Arabidopsis thaliana: one gene and its partners. Each later gene encodes a partner of the first gene's protein in a complex. Each region holds a gene or a part of one and is shown in the gene's direction. Other genes may lie near its edges.

Region 1 (6,108 bases):
AAGTGATTACACAGACACAATGGAAGTTATTCAAAGAAAATTATTCAAGGTACAGGGAGTAACATGATGAAAACTACACATACCCCAGGGACGTAGGGCCTGGCCTGAGGAGGCTCCCACTCCTCCTTCACATTCATCAACCTGTCAAAATCATCGAACATGTTTACAGCAAAGATGTGAGACTTGTCCAACTTGTAGCCATGAGACTTTTCCTTAGCGTTTTGTGCTTCCTGCAAAGAGCCCCAGACATTGAGAGAAACTCTTAGGAAATACTCAACCATTAAGAACAACCTAGTTTGGGCTCCTTTCTAACAAGAGAAATAAAGTATTGAAACATATGACGCCGACATTATTGCTTCAGAATCCAACAAAACAGAGATTAAGCTAATCAAGTAGATAAATAACCTGAGGAGTGTTGAACTCAATAAAACAGTAGCCCAATGTCATCTTGGTATCGGGATCAACAGGCATCCACAGTCCATTTTCCTTAATCACACCTAACTGGTTGTAAATTTTCTTGACAACACCTTCAAGTTTCTCAAACTTCTCCTTGGGAACAACAGGGAGGTGATCGACCACGATAATGTTACCGAATCCAGTGTCGAATTCAGACTGGTCATCCTGGTAAACAGCTTCATCATCACTACAACCATCACAGAAAAAAAAAGTGTATAACGAATCAGTTCCATTTTTCATACGTTCATAGATAAAATGTATAAATATAATAAGCTTTGCACCATCAAGGAAAGAGATAAACCAATTCGAAATACACAAAATTTTCATACATACAATAGCAAAACCTAGAATAAAATCATCCCATCGTATAAACACAAGAAGATTAGAAATAGAAGTGACCGTATATGAACAACCAGAGATCTAAAGGAAAATCTCACCTCTCGATCCCAAAGTCTTCTCCAGGAGGAAGTTGGATGGAATCAAAATTAACCTGAGACCAATCAATCCCTAACTTAGCAGCTCGGGCATCAATATCAACGACCTCCATGATTTCAAACCTTATATCAAAAATCTGCCAAAGAAAGCCATATAGAGAGAGCTATCAGTCTTTAACACATTCCAACTTTAAGTCGATAAATAAATGTGAAAAATCTGAGTCTTTAGATCTAAAAGTAGGTTTTTTGTTAACCCTAAACAAGTATTAAAACAACAAACTACCATGGCCAAATGTTCAAAGACTAAAACTTTGAATCATCACTCCCACTATAATGTAAATCTAAAACCATGCCTATAGAAATTATTAACTATACTCTAGTTTTATTTAATCTAGAACCCAACAACAGGTGAAATGGAGAAAAATGGCAAAATTTTCCTGAAGGCTCTCTTATATCTATTGCATCGTTCTGGATCCTGTCTCATAGCTACATAAGAAAAGACAAAAAAAACAAATGAACACTGAAATCGAGATAAGAAACGTACCCAATACAGAGATCAGCCGAGAGCAAAAAACAAAGAAGAAGACGGCGCTTGAAGGTGAGGAAGAAGGAGCGATTGTTTTCAGGTCTTTTTGGATCATACGACGTCGGTTCCTTAAACGGGCTTATAAATATTTATATGGGCCGGGTAAGCCCAATTCAATAGTAATCAGTAGATCTAATTTATTGTCTTTCTCTCGATTAGCTTTTTTTTTTTTTTAACAATAATCCGTCTCTTTCATTTGGTGTCCTCGAGAACCAAATTCGGATAATCTCTCATCGGAGGATCGTTGTTGTTGTTGCTAGGGTTCTTATCGATTTGTAATGTACAAAACTAAATTAATCCCGGTGATGAACGAGGATGCTGTGATTGTTCAACAAACGGATTCGATTCAGGATCCTAAGGTAACTCCAGATGATACTGTAGTTGATTCGAGCGGGGATGTTCACGAAGCCATTGATGATGATGTTGAAGCTTCTTCACCTATGGAGCTAGATTCGGCGGTTACAAATGACGCTAGGGTTCTCGAAAGTGAGAGATCGGAGAAAGATGGTGTCGTAGGGAGTGAGGAGGAAGATGAGATTAAAAGCGAGGATGTTTTAATTGATAAGGATGATGAGAGTTCTGAGGTTAAAGAAGAAGAAGAAGAAGAAGATGGCTCTGATGATCAATCTAGTGAGCTTGGTTCTGAAGCTGATGAGAAGGAATTAGATTTGGGTTTGAAGGAAGAGAAAAAAGGAGTTTCGGATTATAAATCTCTTTTATCTGAGTTTGATGATTATGTTGCAAGTGAGAAAATGGGTTCTGGAGTTTCGAGGGCATTGAGTTATGGGTTTGAAGTTGGAGATTTGGTTTGGGGAAAGGTAAAGTCTCATCCTTGGTGGCCTGGTCATATATTCAATGAAGCTTTTGCGTCTCCTTCTGTTCGTCGTATGAGGAGGATTGATCATGTTCTTGTTGCGTTTTTCGGTGATAGTAGTTATGGTTGGTTTGATCCTGCTGAGCTTATTCCTTTCGAACCGAATTTAGAGGAGAAATCACAGCAGACGGTTTCGAAGCATTTTGTGAGAGCTGTGGAGGAAGCCAAGGATGAGGCGAGTAGAAGGTCAGCTCTTGGTTTGACTTGTAAATGTCGGAATCCTTATAACTTTAGGCCTAGTAATGTGGAAGATTACTTTGCTGTTGATGTGCCTGATTACGAGCTTCAAGCCGTTTACTCTGTTGATCAGATTAAGAATTCTAGGGATAAGTTTTTACCCGCTGAAACCATTTCGTTTGTGAAGCAATTGGCGTTAGCACCTCAAGAGTGTGATCCAGACAGTTTAAAGTTTATGAAGAAGAAAGCAGTGGTTTTTGCTTTCCGCAAGTCAGTGTTTGAGGAGTTTGATGAAACTTATGCACAGGCCTTTGGGACAAAATCACCCCGCAGTTCAGTGAGTACGCTGGAACCTCATAATAGAGCACCGCCTCGAGGTATTAGCCACTTTTCAGAAAATCATGTTATTGTTTGTATATGGGTTTTTTCGTTGTAGACTTGAAACAGCTTTCATATGTGTTACATAGATATTAGATACTGTAACTTGGTTTTAGGGTTTTACTTTTAGATCCTCTGTGCTCATGATTTTAGGATTTATATCTTTGTAGTTGAATTCTTTACATAGCATGCTTGAAAGAATAGTGAAGTCTCATTGATGCTAAACTGTGCATTCGAAAACGTGGCCTGATAACAATTCTGCGCCTCTTTCTACTATGGAGAGTCCCGCATACATTTACCTTGTTTGCTTTATTGTTCATTTTCTTGGTGGGTGATGTGTTGTTTCAATTTCTCTTATTTCCAGCTCCCTTGAGTGGCCCACTGGTCATAGCAGAAACGCTAGGTGACCTTAAGAGCTCTAAAAAACCCACAAAGGTTAAGGTCTCTAAAAAAAAAGACAAGTATCTTCTCAAACGAAGGGATGAAGCTGGTGATAAGTCTGTTCAGTTTGGCGAAATTGAAGCAAGTTCAGAAGCTTCTCATATCCAGGGAATTGATGGATCTTTGGATGGGGATTTTGGGCTGCAGAGAAGAGCTCCGACGCTTCAAACTCCAATGAAAGATGAGAAGTCTGGGATCGTCAGCATGGATTTTGCCTCTTCAAATACAGCTATTCCTGGTAAAGAATTTTCAGCTTCAAAGCCCTCTCTTGATGAAGAAAAGGGTCTAGCTGAAAAATCAAAGGAGAGAATGGAAGAAAGAGCTGCTGTACTTCCAGAGCATGGGAAATCTGAAGCTATGGCGAGTCTTAAACCTAAAGAAGAAGCTGGAACAGATCTTGGATCAGCTGGAAGTTCTCTCCAGCCTCTGCTTGAGTCTCATACCTCAGCATCTGAGGGGAAAAGTTCCACAGGGTCTGTAATCAAGAAAGTCAAAGTTGCTAAACGATCTTCAAGTGAAATGAGCTCGGAGAATCCTCCTTCAGAGCCAAAAAAGAAAAAGAAAAAGAAGAAAGAGCCTGATTCTGACCATCCAGTGAAGAGAAAAAATTTGTATTCTGGGGAAGCTGGGGCCAAGAAATTGTCCCAGCTTGGTTCAGCGCATTTACAAACCTATATGGAAGCCGATGTGCCGCAGCTGTTGAGCCATCTGCAAGATCTCTCTCTTGACCCTTTCCACGGTTTATCCGTTGCTTCTTTTGGAACTGCTAGGAAATTTTTTCTCCGTTTCCGTTCACTTAATTACCAGAAAAGCTTGTCTGTATCTTCCTCTGATGCTACTGTCGAAAATGCCAGAGACACAAAACCCTCAAAACCTGTCAAGACAGTGAAGAGAACCGAAGACCCATCAAAAGCTGGAAAAAAACGGCTCTCTTCTGATCGTCAAGATGAAATCCCATCAGCTAAGAAGCTGAAGAAAACTAATCAGTTGAAATCAATGGCTTCTGAAAAGAAGATCATTCGAGAAGCAAAGGATAGTATAAAACCAATAAGAGAGCCAAGCAGGGTGGTACAAGCAAAACCAGCCAGAGGTCAAACCGGGAAGAAAACAGCTCCATCAGTTAAGGTGGTTGAGCCAACAATGCTGGTCATGAAATTCCCACCTGGCACATCTCTCCCTTCAGCCGCATTGCTAAAGGCGAGGTTTGGTCGCTTCGGGCTGTTAGATCAATCCGCCATTAGGGTTTTCTGGAAATCATCGACCTGCCGTGTTGTCTTTCTGTACAAAGCCGATGCCCAGACTGCTTTTCGATATGCAACAGGAAACAACACTCTATTTGGAAACGTGAATGTAAAGTACTTTCTCCGTGATGTGGATGCTCCTAAAGCCGAGCCTCGTGAGCCAGAAAACACCAAGGAAGATGATGAACCACAGAGCCAGTGGTTGGACCAAGCACCACCGCTTCACCAACCAACATTACCGCCACCAAACGTCAACCTCAAATCCTGTTTGAAGAAACCAGTTGATGACCCGAGCAGTAGTAGCAACAATGGAAACGGTAACCGCGCAGCCGTAAGAGTCAAATTCATGTTAGGTGGTGAAGAAAACTCGAGTAAAGCAAACACCGAGCCACCACAGGTCACAATGACCTTGAATAGAAACAGTGGACCTTCTTCATCATCATCATCTGTTCCAATGGAATTTGTTAGTAAGAAGTTTCAAAACGTTGTTCATCATCAACAGCTTCCTCCTTCTACATTGCCTCCAATTCTTCCTCTCCCTCCACAATACACAAAACCACAACAACTTCCCATTAAACCAGTAGACCACGTCGAACCACCAATGCCACCTTCAAGAAACTTCCGTGGCCCGATCCCAGCGGTTAGCGCTGGGGACATCTCTCACCAGATGCTCAACCTTTTGTCAAAATGCAACGAAGTAGTGGCTAACGTCACGGGCTTATTGGGCTACGTCCCTTATCATCCCTTGTAACAAAACGAAGCCCGTTGAGAGAAAATGTGAGTGTTTGTTTGGTTTTTGGTGATAATATTGTATGTTAGGTATTAGTTTGGTTCGTTAACTTTAAATCATGTATTACAATTTATAATGATGAATCTCTCTCCCTCTCCCTCTCCCAGGCTTGTTTTATATTTCGTGTATTATTTTTTGAAGTTGTATGCTTTTGATATTTGATGCACTATGCGGAACCAATTCCATTGTTGTGTTACGTTATATATTCTCATTTGGTCTTAATCTACTTGGTGTAAATTTAGGCCTGCCCAAAATGGCTGAGCAAAGTTGAAAATTAAAGCTATAGGAAGAAATTGTGATTACAGTAAAAAAAATATAAAATTTTGATCTTATTCAAAAAAAAGGTAATTTTTATTACCTCTCTTTAAGTTCAATACAACAACATCGACATGGATATTGGATTGTGAAGGCGAAAGAGAGAGAGAGAAAGAGATGGCACGACTTGGTACCAAATACGAGTCGAACTCTTGTCCTGAAGTGTAGAGGCCTAAACCAGTACACAACCAACTGGACAAGGTTAGATTTGGTGGAAAGCCTGCCTGTTGGTATTACTTTATTCGCAAAAAACGAACATTAATTTTAAATGAATATAATTTGCTACGTCTCACTTTTTAGTTCCGTTATAAAGTGGTCGAGAAAGGAACCATGAGACCAAAAATGAAACCAAAATAAAGAAATTCAAATGAAGCTAAAATCCTATTTCAACACATTTGGTTGAATATCGTGAAGTT
Region 2 (5,056 bases), on another chromosome or scaffold:
GGAGCATTTTAAATGTTTGTTAAGCTTGAGTATGGCTTAATACCAGTAATGAGGCTTCTAGCTCCTTGATCTTTGGTAAAATGTCAATATGAGTAAAACAAACAACTTAGCAGTGCTCTATTTTACTTTCCTGCAATGAGATTCCCAAAAACCATGGAAGAGAACTTTAAGAGACAAATTTCCAGCTATTCTACGGGTAAGGATAGCAGGCGTTTGGGCATGTTAATGTTTGCAAATTATGGACACAACAAGGATGGAGAGAACTCCATGAAAAGTTATAAAATCAATACCTCCCCCAATGTCCATGTAATTATTAATTACTCCTATAATCCCTGTAACTGTCACCACATCACCAGGGATACATATGTCCACAAGGTCTTCCATCAGCTCACATTCTACAGTTCTGGGTACCCGTCCTTCTTCGTGGTCTTCAGGCTTTTGCAATTCCTGTACCCTAAAATGCATTTGGACAGCTGGTTAACAATGGTCAGATACATAACTAACAAGGATGAAGTACACAAAATGATGAGACGCAAATAGGAGAACACCTGATTTTCTGAAAATCAATTGTCTGAGCAGAGGACCGGATTGGAGTAAACGTTTTGGACTTGCATCCATGGGAATCACATTTTAGTGGAGGAGAAAACTTTCCATCAGTAAATTCCCGGGTTATGCCAGTTTTGCACTTTCCACAGTCAAAAGCCATCTGTGTGACAAGGGGTTTCACAGTACTAACTTTAACAACAGTCCCATGAACGGTTACAAGCTTTCCTGCAATTTCAAAAGCACACACTCATGCTATGTCTCACTTAAGGTTTTACATCTTATTATTTATTTCGCTAGATGAGACAGTCTACCAATATAAGCTGCTCTCAGGTTTTTCAGGGAGATAGAAGATTCAGGATAATTATGCAGACGAACATTGATCTTCATAACATTCTCAAACTCATTAGTCTCCCATTGATCAAAAAGAACCTGTGAGAGATGACATAAGTCTTCATCTTATGCCAACCAAGAAAACAAACCCCAATGAAAAGTAATAGCATACCTTGTGAACAGCAGCATTCATACATGGGATAACTCCTTTAGGATTATCCTCTAGATTTATGAAAAAGTTCTCGATATCAGATATTTTCTTGAATTGTTGGAGATCAAGAGACAAAGAGAAGGAACCACCACCGTCTTCATTCACCTGGCTCAAGCCATGGAATAAACTTATAAACTGTTTCTCCTATTTTTAGATACTAAGAAGAACTAATTGACGCATAGAGAAGTTGATTAATCGTTTTCTATCTACCCTAATTCTTCATAGAAGTAGAGTGGAAACGAAATCTAGCTAAATAGATTACAATTTCATAACCGGAATTTAATTTCGAAATCAAGCTATACCAAGCTTTATAAAATTCAGATTTATAAACTTTTTACCAGAAATTTGATGATGGCCAAGTGAGGATGTACCTGAGAAACTATGTCTCTACCAGGTGATGCGGAGAATACGCGGATGAGCTCCGCCGTGAGCTGCAACTTATCCTCGTCGATGGCCAAATTCTCGTTGTCCTTGATGTATACAGCTAATATTTTCCCGATGCCGAGAGAATCAATTCCTGTTGATTCAGGGCGACCCGATGCCATGCTTCCACCACCGTAAAATCCCATCACCGCTTAACCCACTGTAACTCGCTCGTCGTCAGTCGCAGAGAAAAATCTCGCTTAGGCCAATGGGTTTTGGCGGGAAAAAGGTAAAGGGCTTTTTGTGATGGGTTTTTGGTAAGTGGGCCAAATGATTGAACCCTAAAACCCAAAGATAACCAAAAGAAAGGATAAAATCAATTAATAAAGCTTTAGTTGTCCGCCACGTGGACTGAACCGCACAAAAATTCACAACAACAAAAAAAAAACGAGAAACCCGTTTCTGGTTCGATTTGACGTCTTCGTTTACTTCATTTCTATAAACGAGCTCCCGCCGCCGGAAAATTCGCTGTTCATCACCACCGTGACCAGAGGTTTGTTGTGAGCACCTTCTCTATCTTTCTTTCTTCACCTGTAGGTTCTGTTATATGTTTTGTTGGGAAATGAACTGAAGAAAATTTCTGATGATTTTCTAGGGTTTTGTTTTGGTACTGCTTATGTCGACGGAATCAGAACGTATTGAATCAGTCTCAGAGGCTAATGCGTCGAGTTTAGAGGTCGGAAATGATCAAATGTCTGAAGCCCTAGCTGGTCAAGCTCAGGAGCTGAAAACAATTGGAGATGATAAAGAAGGATGCGGCAACTTTGCTTCAGCTGGTGATAATGGGATGGAGAAAGTAAATGGATTTACTAATCTTGTTAAGGAAACGGAATCTGTAAATGGAGAGTTAGATCTAGGCACTAGAACCGAAAATGTAGGTGGAGAGAGTAACCAAAGTGACAAGAAGGTTCTAGTAGATAGCGAAGAGGTCATGATGGTAGAGAAAAGGGGGCTTCTTGTTGAGAAGGAAGTGGAACCTGACATGGTCTGTTCTCATGGCGCTGATCTCAGTGATGTGAAGGTTTCTGATGGCAGACTGGATAGTGAAGACCTTGTTCAGGATAGAAAACCCGATGGCTTAGAAAAGCAAGGAACAAAAGTTGAGGACTTGGATGTTGTATGTTTTATGGGTTTAGAACCGCATGAGAGCAAGGATGAGAGTATTTTGGATGATGAAATTGCCCATGTAGCTGCGAAGGTGAAGATCTCTGACTCAGATTTGGTTTGGGCTAAAGTAAGGAGCCATCCGTGGTGGCCTGGACAGGTGTTTGATGCCTCGGCTGCAACAGACAAGGCGAAGAAGCATTTCAAGAAAGGAAGTTTCTTAGTAACTTATTTTGGAGATTGCACCTTTGCTTGGAATGAGGCGTCACGGATTAAGCCTTTTCGACAGCATTTCTCCCAAATGGCAAAGCAGAGTAGTCTACCTGATTTTATTGATGCTATTGATTTTGCGTTAGAAGAGGTATCAAGAAGGATAGAGTTTGGTTTAGCTTGTTCTTGTATCTCAGAGGAAGTCTATCAGAAGATCAAGACTCAGAATGTAATCAATCCTGGAATCCGAGAAGATTCAAGCTCAATACACGGTGGAGACAAGGTCTCAAGTGCAGTCTTCTTTGAACCTGCAAACCTTGTGGGATATGTGAAGCGTTTAGCATGCTCTCCTAGCTATGATGCTACTGATGCGCTGCAGCTTGTAAGTCAGAGAGCACAGTTATTAGCTTTTAATCGCTGGAAAGGCTATACTGACCTCCCCGAGTTTATGACACTCCAGGGGTCAGTAGAGTCTGCACCCAAGATTTCTCCTGCAGAAGAGCAAAGTAGCTTAGTGGAAGTTTCTGATCCTGAACCAACAAAGAGTAAACAAGTTTATACTAAAAGAAGAAAGACAAACCTGCAAACAGAGCAAAGTAGCTTAGTTGAAGTTTCTGATCCTGATAAAGGTGACTGTAAACACGATGGAGTGTTTGAATATGAAGAAACTATTGTTCCAAAGAAAAAGGAGAAAACTTTGGCAGAGTTCATTGCTGAGAAACGCGTAAGCAGACATAATGGGAACACATCACATGAAAAGTCTGGTAATGTTCCGCATTGCGAAAAGAAACGCAAGGTTGTGCAGTCAAAAGTTCCCAAGTCCACGAAAAAGATTAAGGCAAACCTGCAAACAGAGGATCCAGGATCTCCAGTTTCTCCCAAAAATGATCGAAAAAATAATTTGTCTGCTGGTGATAAGATTACACCACAGAAAGCTAGAAAAAGTTTCGGAATTGGGGCAAGCATATTGAAAGTGGCAAACCAGATGCATTGTTCAACACCAACCAGACTCTTACCTTGCAGTGATTCGACCTCCAAAAAGGCAGCCAAGAGCAATGGCAGTGGAAAGAGTCTTCAGGAGAAACCTAAAGCCGAAGCATTATCAGCAAGAGAAATTTCTCCTTCAACTACACTTTCAAGCCCTCACGCTGCTTCTGTTACCAAAACCACAAGTGGGAAATCCAATTCTGTCAGCCTAGACCACAACCTATCCGGAGAACTTGATCAGGTCAGAAAGGAAGCTCCTAGTACTAACCTTGTGGAGGACCCGATGTTGGAGTCTAGAGACTTGAAAGACTCTTCTAAGGAGCAGGTCGTACATGAGGATAAGAAAGAAGCTGCAAATGTAGCGGATGAGAAATCTATTATGGACAGCAATCTAACCGGGGAGAAAATCAGTGGCTTGGACTTGAGAGAGCAGCCGAGTAACAAGAACTGCTCTGGTGGATCTGATAGTTGCAAGGAAGATGTTTCTGCAGAGTAGGAAGGCTCAGCATCAGCGTCTAACCCACTAATACAGATCTTTCTAAAATCGAGTCCGGTTCTTGTTAGTACCCAAGAGTGGAATATACCTTTTAGATGGATTCTCTTCTCTTTCAAAGTTTAGAATTGTATGATTTAATCAGAGTTGAACAAACACTAGTGAGAGAATGTAACAAAGTTATTTTTGTTTTTCCAGATTTGTGCAATTTAATGGTCAATAATTCATTTGAATCCAAAACTAATTATGAATTTGAATAAATAAATTAGAATCCAAACAAAATTAACCTCAACTCGGAGGAAAATAGAATAAGAGATGTCACTGAATAAGTACATAGACATGCCTTCAAATATCAAAAAAAATTCATAAAATGTAGTAGAGCTCAAGACCTAGGCTTCTCCTTCTTTTCCTTGAAAAGGGCCAAGAGTGAGACACCAGAGACCTTCACCACTTTGAACCTAACTCCGGGAATATCTCCGACGGCATGACCTTTACGCCCAAATCCAGCAATCAACACCTCGTCCTACACACAGTATCAATGAATGAGTAATTGGTAAGAATATAATTTGATTACTCATTCAAAAGTAGATGTCAATCTAACTTACATTTTCTTCAATGTAGTTCAAACAACCATCATTGGGGACAAAGGCAGCAATCTTTTTACCATTCTTGATCAACTGAACTCTAGCACACTTACGGATAGCAGAGTTAGGCTGCTTAGCCTCAATACCACTGCATAATCAAACACAGAG
Region 3 (6,281 bases), on another chromosome or scaffold:
AAAAGTATAAAAAATTGATAATTTTAAAAATACGAGAACTTCTCGTTTCTTGTTCTAAGTAAAATAACATTCCAATATAGAATTAGGGTTTAGTTGCCTTTGGAAAATTGCTTTGTAAAAAGCTAGATATTATGTTTCGTTTAGTATATCTTTGACTCATGATATTTGACATTTGATTAAAAATCATGTTTGCCTTACATGCATAATATCTTAAATGCTTGTATCACATGTCTCTAACTACCACGAAAAACTTTGTGTATAAAAAATTCAAATCTTTAATTTTTGGACGACAAATTCATTAGCGTTACTAATTTCATTGTACCTATCAGTTTTATGACGATAATAATACAATTTATTTCGTCCCAAAAAAAATAATATTTATTTATTAAGTTAATAGGAAAATAGGTGTAAATATACAAATATGTATATGTAATATGCAATTAGAGAATATATGAAACACCACTATACTATCAACATTAATATTAGTAAGATGAGAAACATAAATTAGATGATTTGAGTCAATATTTTTCCCTAGTAATCTTAGTAATAGTTTTTTTTTTCTTTTATTTGCATAGTTCATATACATATTTGTATACATATATGTTGTGCAGATCTAAAATTTTTGTTTAATACCTATTTTGCACCTCTACCAAATAAATTGTGTTAGAATTTTAAAAAATTCATAATCACAACAAAATTTCTAACACTATTTAATTTGTTGATCATAAAAAATCTGAATTTTTATGCACAAAACGTTTCTTAATAGTCAAAACTAGTGATATAAGAAGTGCAATGCCAAGAATTATAGAGATTTGAAGCGAAATTTTAAAATGACATGATTATACATAACTTTTAAGTTCTAAACTATAATCATAATAAAAAAAATTAAGATATTAAATAGAGCGAACAGACGTTTAGGTTTTTTTCGGATTTACCATATTCATCAGATTAATCCATGCTGGATTGAGAAAAAGCCTCAAGCTTGGAACAACTACATGTAAATCATAACCTCGAGATATTTTAAGGCTTTCAATGTCCCAAAGAAAGTTATTTGGTGTCGAATCCATGAGTGAAAATTGAGCTTTTCACATAGAACAAAGAGGGATATGAAATAGTACAATTTTATGTTTTAAATAAAGAAGATAAAATGAAAGGTAAATTTTATAGGTTTAGCCAGCAGAGAACAAATGAAATGAATGTTTTAAGTTTAGACACCAAGAACAAACTTAGGGTTCAAGTCTAAGCTTAGTCATATACTTCTGAACAATATTGGACTTTATTGTTCAAGTATTAAACAAACATTGAAATCTTCTTAAATCACTTTTCAAAATGCAACGAGGATCTATTCTTTTTTTTTTTTTCAGAAGAAGCTACAAGAAAGAACAACAAGTTTGGATATGAATTATAAAGTTAGTAATCCATGTAAGAGACGCTTATATTAATTAATTTATACTGTTAATTATTTCATCCGTAATTTTTATTATTATTCAATAAAGTATTTATTTTACTGAATTAAAAAATAATAATTATGGGTGTTTGGATATTCGGTCGGGTATTTTGGGTTTGAGTTTTTCGGGTTTAGAATTTTAAGATCCGTTCGAGTAATTCAAGATTCCGGGTCGGGTTTGGTTCGGTTTCGGGTTTAGTTATATATTGAAATATCAAAATTTTGTGTCCGAATCTATTAAATTATTTGAAAATTTCAAAAATTCCCTAAACAACCCGAGTAGTTTTGCTTGAATATATTTAAAAATACATAAAAGTAACTAAAATATCCGAAAAATCATAATATTGTCTATATGTAAATATAAATATAAATATTTTAGTTATATTTATATTTAAGATATGTTTGGGTACCAGTTCGGGTTCGGGTTTTTCAGGTTTTGAAGTTTAGATTCAGTCGGATATTTGAAAATTTCAGGTTCGAATTTAGATTGGGATTTTTGGATTGGGATTTTTGGATCGGGTTCAGATCGGTTTTTTCGGATTCAGGTATTATGTCCAAAGTAAAAATGGTAAACGGTGGTTGTTTTGTTTGTATTTGTAAAGCAGAAGAGAGAGAGATATAGAGACACTGAAAGCAAAGACCAAAAAAGAAAAATTAAAAAGAGAGAGAGGAAAATGGAGAGCGACGAAGCAGCAGCAGTGTCTCCTCAAGCAACGACACCGAGCGGAGGAACCGGAGCTTCTGGGCCGAAGAAGAGAGGTCGGAAACCTAAAACCAAGGAAGATTCTCAGACGCCGTCGTCTCAGCAACAGAGCGATGTTAAAATGAAAGAAAGTGGGAAGAAAACGCAGCAGTCGCCGAGTGTTGACGAGAAGTACTCTCAGTGGAAAGGTCTCGTCCCCATTCTCTACGACTGGCTCGCTAACCATAACCTCGTCTGGCCTTCACTCTCTTGCAGGTCTCCCCCTTTCTCCTTTCCTCTCCTTCTAGGGTTTCGTTTCGTAATCGTTTCTTAGCTTTGAACATTCTCATGTTTGGAATGAATTTAGTAAAATCTTACACATACATTTTCTCGATTTCTGGGTTTAAGTGAGATTGTTGCGATTGTTCTAGTTAGGGTTTTGGATGTGGCTCTGTCTTCATACCTTGATATATCTGATGTTCTATTCATGAATTGTTACTATTGATTACCTTGTTGGTTACTAATGACTAAGAGGAATTTTCAGTTTCTCTGAGTGTTTATATCTGATGAAGTCTTTAGTTGTTGTGCTAAGAGTTTCCATTTGGTGAATTGTTGTTTGATTTTTTTATAGATGGGGTCCGCAGCTTGAGCAAGCAACCTACAAGAATCGCCAGCGTCTGTACCTCTCAGAGCAAGTAAGTTTTTAGCTTTCTCTTGTATCTTGTTGTCTCATCTTCTTTATATACTTCTCATCGTATTATTTGTATTTTTCTTGGTTGTGTCACCAGACTGATGGAAGTGTGCCCAATACTTTGGTCATAGCAAATTGTGAAGTTGTTAAGCCAAGGGTTGCTGCAGCAGAGCACATTTCTCAGGTATTATGTGGTTTAATACTAAGCTTGTGTCCTTTCCATATCCTACTCCACACTACAATTGGTTTCATGTTTGACACTTATATACTATCTTCTGAAAATGTGTTCTCAGTTCAATGAAGAAGCACGTTCTCCATTTGTGAAGAAGTACAAGACCATCATTCACCCTGGAGAGGTGTGAATTCTGCCCACTCTTGAGATATTTCTGTATTGACATTGTTCTTTTTAGTTCTATTTGGTTTGTTAATTGTATCTGCATCCCTGTTTCATCTGTCCATGAAGTTATTCGTTTGGCACGTTGGTGAAAGTAAATTTTGATGTGTATTCATTACTAATTTGCAATTGCAGGTTAACAGAATCAGGGAACTCCCACAGAATAGTAAGATTGTTGCTACTCACACCGACAGTCCTGATGTGAGTGCTGCTTCTATTTTGTTATGGTCATAGCAACTTGAAATATGTCGGTTTCATATTTCTGTATTTGGCAGTCAAAGAGCATCCTTTGTTCGGACATATGTCCAGTTTCAGAGTTATCTAAATACAATATGTTGATTTCAGGTTCTCATTTGGGATGTTGAAACCCAACCAAACCGTCATGCTGTGCTTGGAGCTGCAAATTCCCGTCCAGATTTGGTATGTCCACTTCTGAGAATGTTGTTTTATGCTTTATTCTTGTTTGTTTCTCATCATTGGAAGTGATAAATCTCTTTGATATCTTCTTAAATAGTGCTTCTTGTTTGCATCATCTGAATGAACCATTTTTCATGCAGATACTAACTGGGCACCAAGATAATGCTGAATTTGCTCTTGCCATGTGCCCAACGGAACCCTTTGTGCTCTCCGGAGGTTTGTGTTTCTGTAATTTGTAGAGTCCAATCCTGTGGTTTGCCAGTTTCTCATACAAAAGTTCTTCTCTTAGGCAAGGACAAGTCAGTTGTTTTGTGGAGTATCCAAGATCACATCACAACGATTGGGACAGATTCCAAATCATCTGGATCTATCATCAAACAGACTGGTGAAGGTACTGATAAGAATGAGAGTCCTACTGTTGGCCCACGAGGTGTATATCATGGCCATGAAGATACAGTTGAAGATGTGGCATTCAGCCCGACGAGGTAACTTCTTAGAACAGACTCCTTCTATTGATATCGTGTTTGTTTATGCATACTGCAGATATTTTCATGATTTTCTAATAATACTTCTGGTGAACTTTTATACCGTGAAGTGCACAAGAATTCTGCAGTGTTGGTGATGATTCTTGCCTTATACTATGGGATGCGAGAACTGGCACAAACCCTGTCACGAAGGTACTCTATCTTTTGAATCCTATCAAAAGTTTGAAGATTTACCTCCTTTTGATATTATATCTTACTTTTTTGTTTTCCAGGTTGAAAAAGCGCATGATGCTGATCTTCATTGTGTTGATTGGAATCCTCATGACGACAATCTGATCCTGACAGGGTATGGAGAAATACATACAAATAGATGATTAATACATACTTAGTATCTAATTAAGAAATTGATGAATATTTCAGGTCAGCAGACAACACTGTCCGGTTGTTTGATCGTAGGAAGCTTACCGCTAATGGAGTTGGTTCGCCTATTTACAAATTTGAGGGACACAAAGCTGCTGTTCTTTGTGTTCAGGTATAATCAACTTTTTTTTTTTTTTTCCTTCTTTGTATGAAGTATATCTCTTAACCCACTGACACTATCTTGTTATTCAATTCAGTGGTCTCCTGATAAGTCATCCGTCTTTGGGAGCTCTGCAGAAGATGGTCTCTTGAACATCTGGGATTATGACAGGGTGTGTACATAGTTCACTCAGATGTCTAAAATTAATCTTTCTTCACTATCATCACTGAAACATATTCATTGTACTCATGTTTGGTTTGTTTAATTAACCATCAGGTCAGTAAGAAGTCTGATCGTGCAGCTAAAAGCCCCGCTGGGCTCTTCTTCCAGCATGCTGGTCACAGGTTCTTAAAGACTTATCTTGATTTTTCTTGATTGCTTTCTCATTTTACTTGCTTCTAAGTTCCCTTGTTTATAAACCATATTAGGGACAAAGTTGTTGATTTCCACTGGAATGCTTCAGACCCTTGGACTATTGTCAGTGTTTCTGATGACTGTGAGACTACTGGTGGAGGTGGAACATTGCAGGTAACCTTGAAATCTTTCTTGGTACCTTGATAAGCAATTTTATTGACATACCGTTAAATGTTGTTTATACTTTCTTCTATGGCAGATATGGCGGATGAGTGACTTGATTTACAGACCAGAAGAAGAAGTCGTGGCAGAATTGGAGAAGTTCAAGTCGCATGTTATGACTTGTGCCTCCAAGCCTTAAGAGTAAAGAAAACCCATTGTCTATCTATCTATCGCCTATGGTAAACTAATGCGGGTTTTAGCGAGGAGTCTTGGTTTTTGTAAGGCTGGTTTGTCTTTTGAGATATTGGTGGTAGCTTTTAGGACCTTTCCATATCAGTTAGGGGTACATGGTTCTGGTTCATGATCCTGTTTCATCAGACTCTTAGGTGCTGTTTTGTTCAACTGAGATGTTAATCAAATCGGACCAACTTTATGTGTTTTGGTTTAAGGTTTCAATACTTGGCCTGAACCTAATGATTCCTTCTCTGTAACTAGTCGAGACCAACCCGGCTACAAAAAAAATAGTTGCATTGATGTTCAAATGCAAAGCAGAAGGGGTCATTATAAAACAATATAGTAATAAGCATCGCAAAATTTGGAAACTGGGTTCTTGATGATTCGTCGCATCTTAAATAATGTTTGCATTGTCGTTTTCATTAGAAAAAAACTGTTAATCACGCTTAGCAGTAGGATTAGGTGATTTTCAATTCACAGATTTATTCGTAGGATTTTGAAGAAATTTTAAGTATTAACAGTCACTAAACAATCAGACCATTGCAAATCATACATAGATCACCTGGTCATTTCATAAAACTAAACTATATGATAATGTTTTACTTTATTGGGCTTAACGTTAATGGTCCTCCCGCTTAATAGGCTTTATGAAGTCTCTTGATGAGCTAGAGACTTTAAAAATCCAATCACAAAGCCTACATGAGACCGTCAAGATCAGTCAGAGAAGATCAAACGAAGAAGTTTTTGTTCCAAAAGATACTAAAGAGAGAAACATGAATCAATGTATTGCTTGAGGAATAAGGTAGGGAAGCTAATCAATCACAAGTAGACGAATCGGAGTATTTCATAAAATTAGGGTTTTTAGACCTACATTTTCTTTTCTTTTTCCGACGAT
Region 4 (4,475 bases), 9.1 Mb from region 1:
ACTTGGCTACATTTACTGTAAGCAAAACATGAAGTAAAATTCACCGGAAGAAGAAACAACAAAAATAAACTGTGATATATGCCCAAGCAAGTTTTGAAGATAAGGACGAAGAAGACGCTGACGGAACTAGAGGGTTCGGATTATAAAGAAAAGAAGAGAAGACACAGAAATAAACAGAGGCATTGGCATTTCTTTTAGAATATAGAATTTGTTGAGAGGAGTTACTTAGTATTGATCGCTTAAATGATAAATACCGTGTTCTTTAAGTATCTGTATCAGTTGTTTGGAAATAAAGAGCTTGTTTCTAACAAAAACACTCAAAATCTTCTGAGGATCACAAACTTCACAATCATCATCTTATCACTTATGGATAAAGTCACCACCATGCAATTGTTTTCAGAAATATCAAGTATAAGAAAGAAATTACAAAAACAAAACCTGTGAAAAGAAGCTAATCGATCTCTTGTCAAAGCTTGAGAAGGTAGAATCAATGGCTTCCAGGTAAACAACTGAACAGCCACCATCTTTCTTAATCTTCTCCTTGATTTATCTTACGCTCTTTTTGTTTCTCTCCTTATATATGTGGGTGGAGTATGGACACAAGGCTGGTTTTTTAGATTTTTGCGTGATTATTTTGTTGTTGTTATATTGTTTTGGACCATATTAGTTAGCCCGTGGGGTGTTATGAACATAAAAACAAATCGACTAATTTTTTTTTTGGCTTAGAACTTCATTTGAATAGGTAAACAACGCAGAGGAATCGCGTCCATAGAATAGAATATAATAAAAACAAAATGGTACTCTTATCGCTTTGAATTTTAACTACTTTCTCTTATTCCACTCACTATTCACGTTTTTATATACATACATACATATAAGAGTACATGTGCTAATAGCTGTCCAAACAAAAAAAAGAGTACATGTGCTAATAAACGACTATTTTTTAGTACTTTTGTTTCAATCGTTAAAATCTCATCCACAATTTTGAATCTCGAACGTTACTGGCTCCCAAAATATCCTCTCAATGTTGAGACGCCACATGACATAACAATAAAAATGACAAAGACATAACAAGAAAATGGATTTTGCATTTTTTGACCATTGAGAGAGCTAAGCACTTTACACAATAAACGGTGTTATTGTGTTTATATATGAATTGATATATTATTTTGTTAGTCTATGAGGAGTATTTAAAAATATCCCCAAAAGAGGTTTTTCAAAATATCACTTTTTAGTAAAACATACTATTAAACAAGTTTAGAAAACTTATAAAAAAGTGTCTTAATGTTGTAGGAAAACATTTGGTTCTCATTAAACATAAAATTAACAAATTTAATTCTTTAGAAATAAACTAGTTGTAGTAAAATTCTAATCTACTTGTAGTAAAATTCTATTCTATTTAATATCAGTAAAAACAAGTCAAATTCAAGTTCAAATAAAGAGGGAAAAGCAAAAGTTTGAAAATTTTGAACCTCACTCAATGTAATAATGTATGGTTGTGATGAGTCGAGACAAAATCAAGTACTGCCACGTGGAATAATTCGTGACGTACACGTAGCTCTCTCATAAACCCCCTCAAAACGAAAGAAACTCTGTTATTTCTTCATTACCCAAAATCTAAGCTTTCGTCGCCGGCGAAACCGTAACCGCCACCGGAGGTTCTGTCCACCTTTTTTGCTCTCCGATTATTTTCTTCGTCTCTCGTATGATGTACTGTTTTTGCTTTAATGGAAGCATATACTGAAGCAATTTCTGCTTTTTTTTGTTTCTTCGTTGTCTAGGGATTTTTGTTGGTGCTCGTTATGTCTACGGAACCAGAAGGAGTCGAATCTGACTCCAACGCTGATTTTGCCATAAATGCGTCGAGTTTTGACTACGGTATGGCTCACACATCTGAAACCCTAGCTGATCCCATGAGCTTTCAAGCTCAGGACTTGGTAGTGAACCTCACTGGAGTTGAGCGAAAAGTATTTGTCTCTGCTCGTGATGATAAGGATAGTCTCTGTAACGGGGTTGATTTTGATGCTGATTCAGATCTGCTTAAGAACAAGGATAAGAAAGGATTTTCTAAAGAGAATCTGAAGCTTTTTGACTCAGATTTGGTTTGGGCTAAACTAAGAAGTTATCCATGGTGGCCTGGACTGGTCTTTGATAAATCTGTTGCCTCTAAAGCTGCGATGAGGCACTTCAAGAAAGGAAATGTCTTGGTTGCGTATTTTGGGGATTGTACATTTGCTTGGAATAATGCATCTCAGATAAAGCCTTTTCATCAGAATTTCTCTCAAATGCAGGAGCAGAGTAACTCCGCTGAGTTTCGTGATGCTATTGATTGTGCTTTGGATGAGGTTTCAAGGAGAGTAGAGTTTGGTTTATCTTGCTCTTGTGTTTCAGAGGAAGCCTATAACAAACTCAAGACTCAGAACATAATCAATGCTGGAATTCGTGAGGACTCAAGTGTTAGATACGGTGGAGACAAGTTATCGGATGGAATCTCTTTTGAACCTGCTAAACTTGTGGATTATATGAAGCATTTAGCTTGCTTTCCTTGCTATGATGCGACTGAGAAGCTGCAATTTGTGATTAACCGAGCTCAGGTATTGGCTTTTCAACAATGGAAAGACTATTCTCACTTCATTGACTATGAAACATTTGTAAGGTCGGTGGAATCTGCTGCGACCCTGGCTTCTCTCCCAGAAGTAAATATGGATGAAGGAATATCTGCCAAAAAGAGAAAGACAGATTATAAAGATAATGCTGAACAGACAAAGGAGAAGACTTTGTCAGATTTGACTGTAAAGAAACGCTGTGGGAGCAGATCAACTGAGAAATTGGATGGTAAGTCGCATTCTGAAAAGAAGCGTAAGGTTGAGTCTTCGGAATCTGGTAAGTCTGAGAAAAGGATCAAGAAAAGTCAGCAAAAGGAGGATTCAGTGTCTAAACACTCTAATGAGGAAAGTCTTTTGTCAGTGGGTGATACTAATAAACTGCAGAAGACGGCTGAACCGTGTCATGGAACTGGAGTGGAAAATGAGATGAATTCTTTAACTCCTACACTTAAGCCTTGCCGTGCTTCTAAATCTACGGAAGTTGAGAATGAGAAGACTAAGAAGCCGAGACATCAAGAGCTTGCTGAAAGAAAGATTTCTTCTCCTGATGAGATGCTCTCAAGCCTTCACGCTGCCAATACCTCAACGGGAATACCTGATTCAATCAACATAGACCCCTCGAATTATGAAGATTTTGAAAAGTTCATTAATGAACTGTTTTGCAGTAAACTCAATGGTGACTCAAAGAAGGCAAGTATCACTGAGACATCAGAACCTTGTGATAAGAAAGACTCTGCAGAAGAAGAGATATTACCTGCAAATAAAGAAATCACTGGCTCAGGCTCGAAAGAGCAAATTGGTCTCAAGGACTGTTCTGCAGATTCATTACCACCCTATGCTTTAGTCCTCAACTTTGCGGATTCAGGTTCGGTTCCATCTGAAGAAAAGCTGAACGAGATATTTAAACGTTACGGTCCTCTCCATGAGTCTAAGACTAAGGTCACGATGAAGGGTAAGAGAGCCAAAGTTGTGTTCAAAAGAGGGGAAGACGCAAAGACTGCCTTTAGCAGCGCAGGGAAATACAGCATCTTTGGACCTTCTCTTCTAAGTTACAGACTCGAGTATGTTTGCCCCAAACGGAAAAAAACAACATGACTGATTGAGTCACGGCATCTCTTAACTTTCAGAGATTAGGGTCTGATCAGATATCATCAGCTAGGTCTTATGATGAGAGTAGATTTTCGATAAATAAACGTAACCTAGGATTTATGATGAGAGTAGGTTTTCGATAAATAAAAGTAACATTCGTGTGATGAGACTAATTCTTAACTTTATGACATACAAAACCAAAACTGGAAATACCAATGATAACAGTAAAGTTAGTCGCAACTGAAGATGAGGCTTATAAGTTAAAAGAGTAAATTGATTAAACACCAATAACATTAAACGATCATGTCTTAATTCAAAAACTCATAAAATGTAACACAAAATCAAGTTCTTGAAACATAAAGTAGAACAGAACAAGACTTAAACTGAACTATCAAAAACCATATCAAAAGCTTGAAGCTTTTTGTACGGGTTGCTTAAGATCTTGGCTTCTCCTTCTTTTCCTTGAAGAGGGCCAAGAGTGAAACACCAGAAACCTTCACGACCTTGAACCTAACTCCGGGAATATCTCCCACAGCGTGACCCTTACGACCAAATCCAGCAATCAAGACCTCATCCTGCAACACCATAAACAAGAAATGTATCAGCATATGAATGAAACTAATCCATAGTGTGATGATTGAATAGTCATTTCATGTGACTTACGTTTTCCTCGATGTAGTTCAAACAACCATCATTGGGGACAAAGGCAGCAATCTTCTTTCCATTCTTGATAAGCTGAACTCTAGCACACTTACGGATAGCAGAGTTAGGCTGCTTAGC

Evidence for each region.
Region 2: AT5G27650 (region 1) and AT3G09670 share a complex: the UniProt entries of both Arabidopsis thaliana proteins name them as parts of the PRC2 (polycomb repressive complex 2) complex.
Region 3: AT5G27650 (region 1) and FVE share a complex: the UniProt entries of both Arabidopsis thaliana proteins name them as parts of the PRC2 (polycomb repressive complex 2) complex.
Region 4: AT5G27650 (region 1) and AT5G02950 share a complex: the UniProt entries of both Arabidopsis thaliana proteins name them as parts of the PRC2 (polycomb repressive complex 2) complex.

What each region holds. Positions count from the first base shown.
Region 1 is NC_003076.8:9,783,757-9,789,864, forward strand, and holds AT5G27650 (Tudor/PWWP/MBT superfamily protein), read left to right. Parts: upstream 1-1,650; 5' UTR 1,651-1,754; coding exon 1,755-2,904; intron 2,905-3,269; coding exon 3,270-5,338; 3' UTR 5,339-5,598; downstream 5,599-6,108. Other genes in the region: TIF3B1 (translation initiation factor 3B1), read right to left, coding at 84-308, 406-643, 894-1,003. UniProt on the Arabidopsis thaliana protein: Together with PDP2, PDP3 and PDP6, interacts with MSI4/FVE and MSI5 to suppress FLC, MAF4 and MAF5 expression by regulating the function of the PRC2 complex and modulating H3K27me3 level, thereby promoting flowering.
Region 2 is NC_003074.8:2,964,511-2,969,566, forward strand, and holds AT3G09670 (Tudor/PWWP/MBT superfamily protein), read left to right. Parts: upstream 1-1,690; 5' UTR 1,691-2,003; exon of another isoform or gene 2,004-2,010; intron 2,011-2,105; 5' UTR 2,106-2,126; coding exon 2,127-4,307; 3' UTR 4,308-4,548; downstream 4,549-5,056. Other genes in the region: MCM8 (minichromosome maintenance 8), read right to left, coding at 291-454, 549-771, 858-975, 1,049-1,192, 1,459-1,656; AT3G09680 (Ribosomal protein S12/S23 family protein), read right to left, coding at 4,687-4,827, 4,910-5,036. UniProt on the Arabidopsis thaliana protein: Together with PDP1, PDP3 and PDP6, interacts with MSI4/FVE and MSI5 to suppress FLC, MAF4 and MAF5 expression by regulating the function of the PRC2 complex and modulating H3K27me3 level, thereby promoting flowering.
Region 3 is NC_003071.7:8,453,885-8,460,165, forward strand, and holds FVE (Transducin family protein / WD-40 repeat family protein), read left to right. Parts: upstream 1-1,871; 5' UTR 1,872-2,121; coding exon 2,122-2,405; intron 2,406-2,760; coding exon 2,761-2,824; intron 2,825-2,917; coding exon 2,918-3,004; intron 3,005-3,113; coding exon 3,114-3,176; intron 3,177-3,349; coding exon 3,350-3,415; intron 3,416-3,559; coding exon 3,560-3,634; intron 3,635-3,771; coding exon 3,772-3,847; intron 3,848-3,920; coding exon 3,921-4,116; intron 4,117-4,226; coding exon 4,227-4,308; intron 4,309-4,388; coding exon 4,389-4,462; intron 4,463-4,536; coding exon 4,537-4,648; intron 4,649-4,733; coding exon 4,734-4,808; intron 4,809-4,912; coding exon 4,913-4,980; intron 4,981-5,064; coding exon 5,065-5,164; intron 5,165-5,249; coding exon 5,250-5,351; 3' UTR 5,352-5,758; downstream 5,759-6,281. UniProt on the Arabidopsis thaliana protein: Core histone-binding subunit that may target chromatin assembly factors, chromatin remodeling factors and histone deacetylases to their histone substrates in a manner that is regulated by nucleosomal DNA.
Region 4 is NC_003076.8:689,151-693,625, forward strand, and holds AT5G02950 (Tudor/PWWP/MBT superfamily protein), read left to right. Parts: upstream 1-1,534; 5' UTR 1,535-1,658; exon of another isoform or gene 1,659-1,781; 5' UTR 1,782-1,802; coding exon 1,803-3,701; 3' UTR 3,702-3,949; downstream 3,950-4,475. Other genes in the region: AT5G02940 (ion channel POLLUX-like protein, putative (DUF1012)), read right to left, coding at 439-524; AT5G02960 (Ribosomal protein S12/S23 family protein), read right to left, coding at 4,130-4,270, 4,359-4,475. UniProt on the Arabidopsis thaliana protein: May influence gene expression by regulating the function of the PRC2 complex and modulating H3K27me3 level.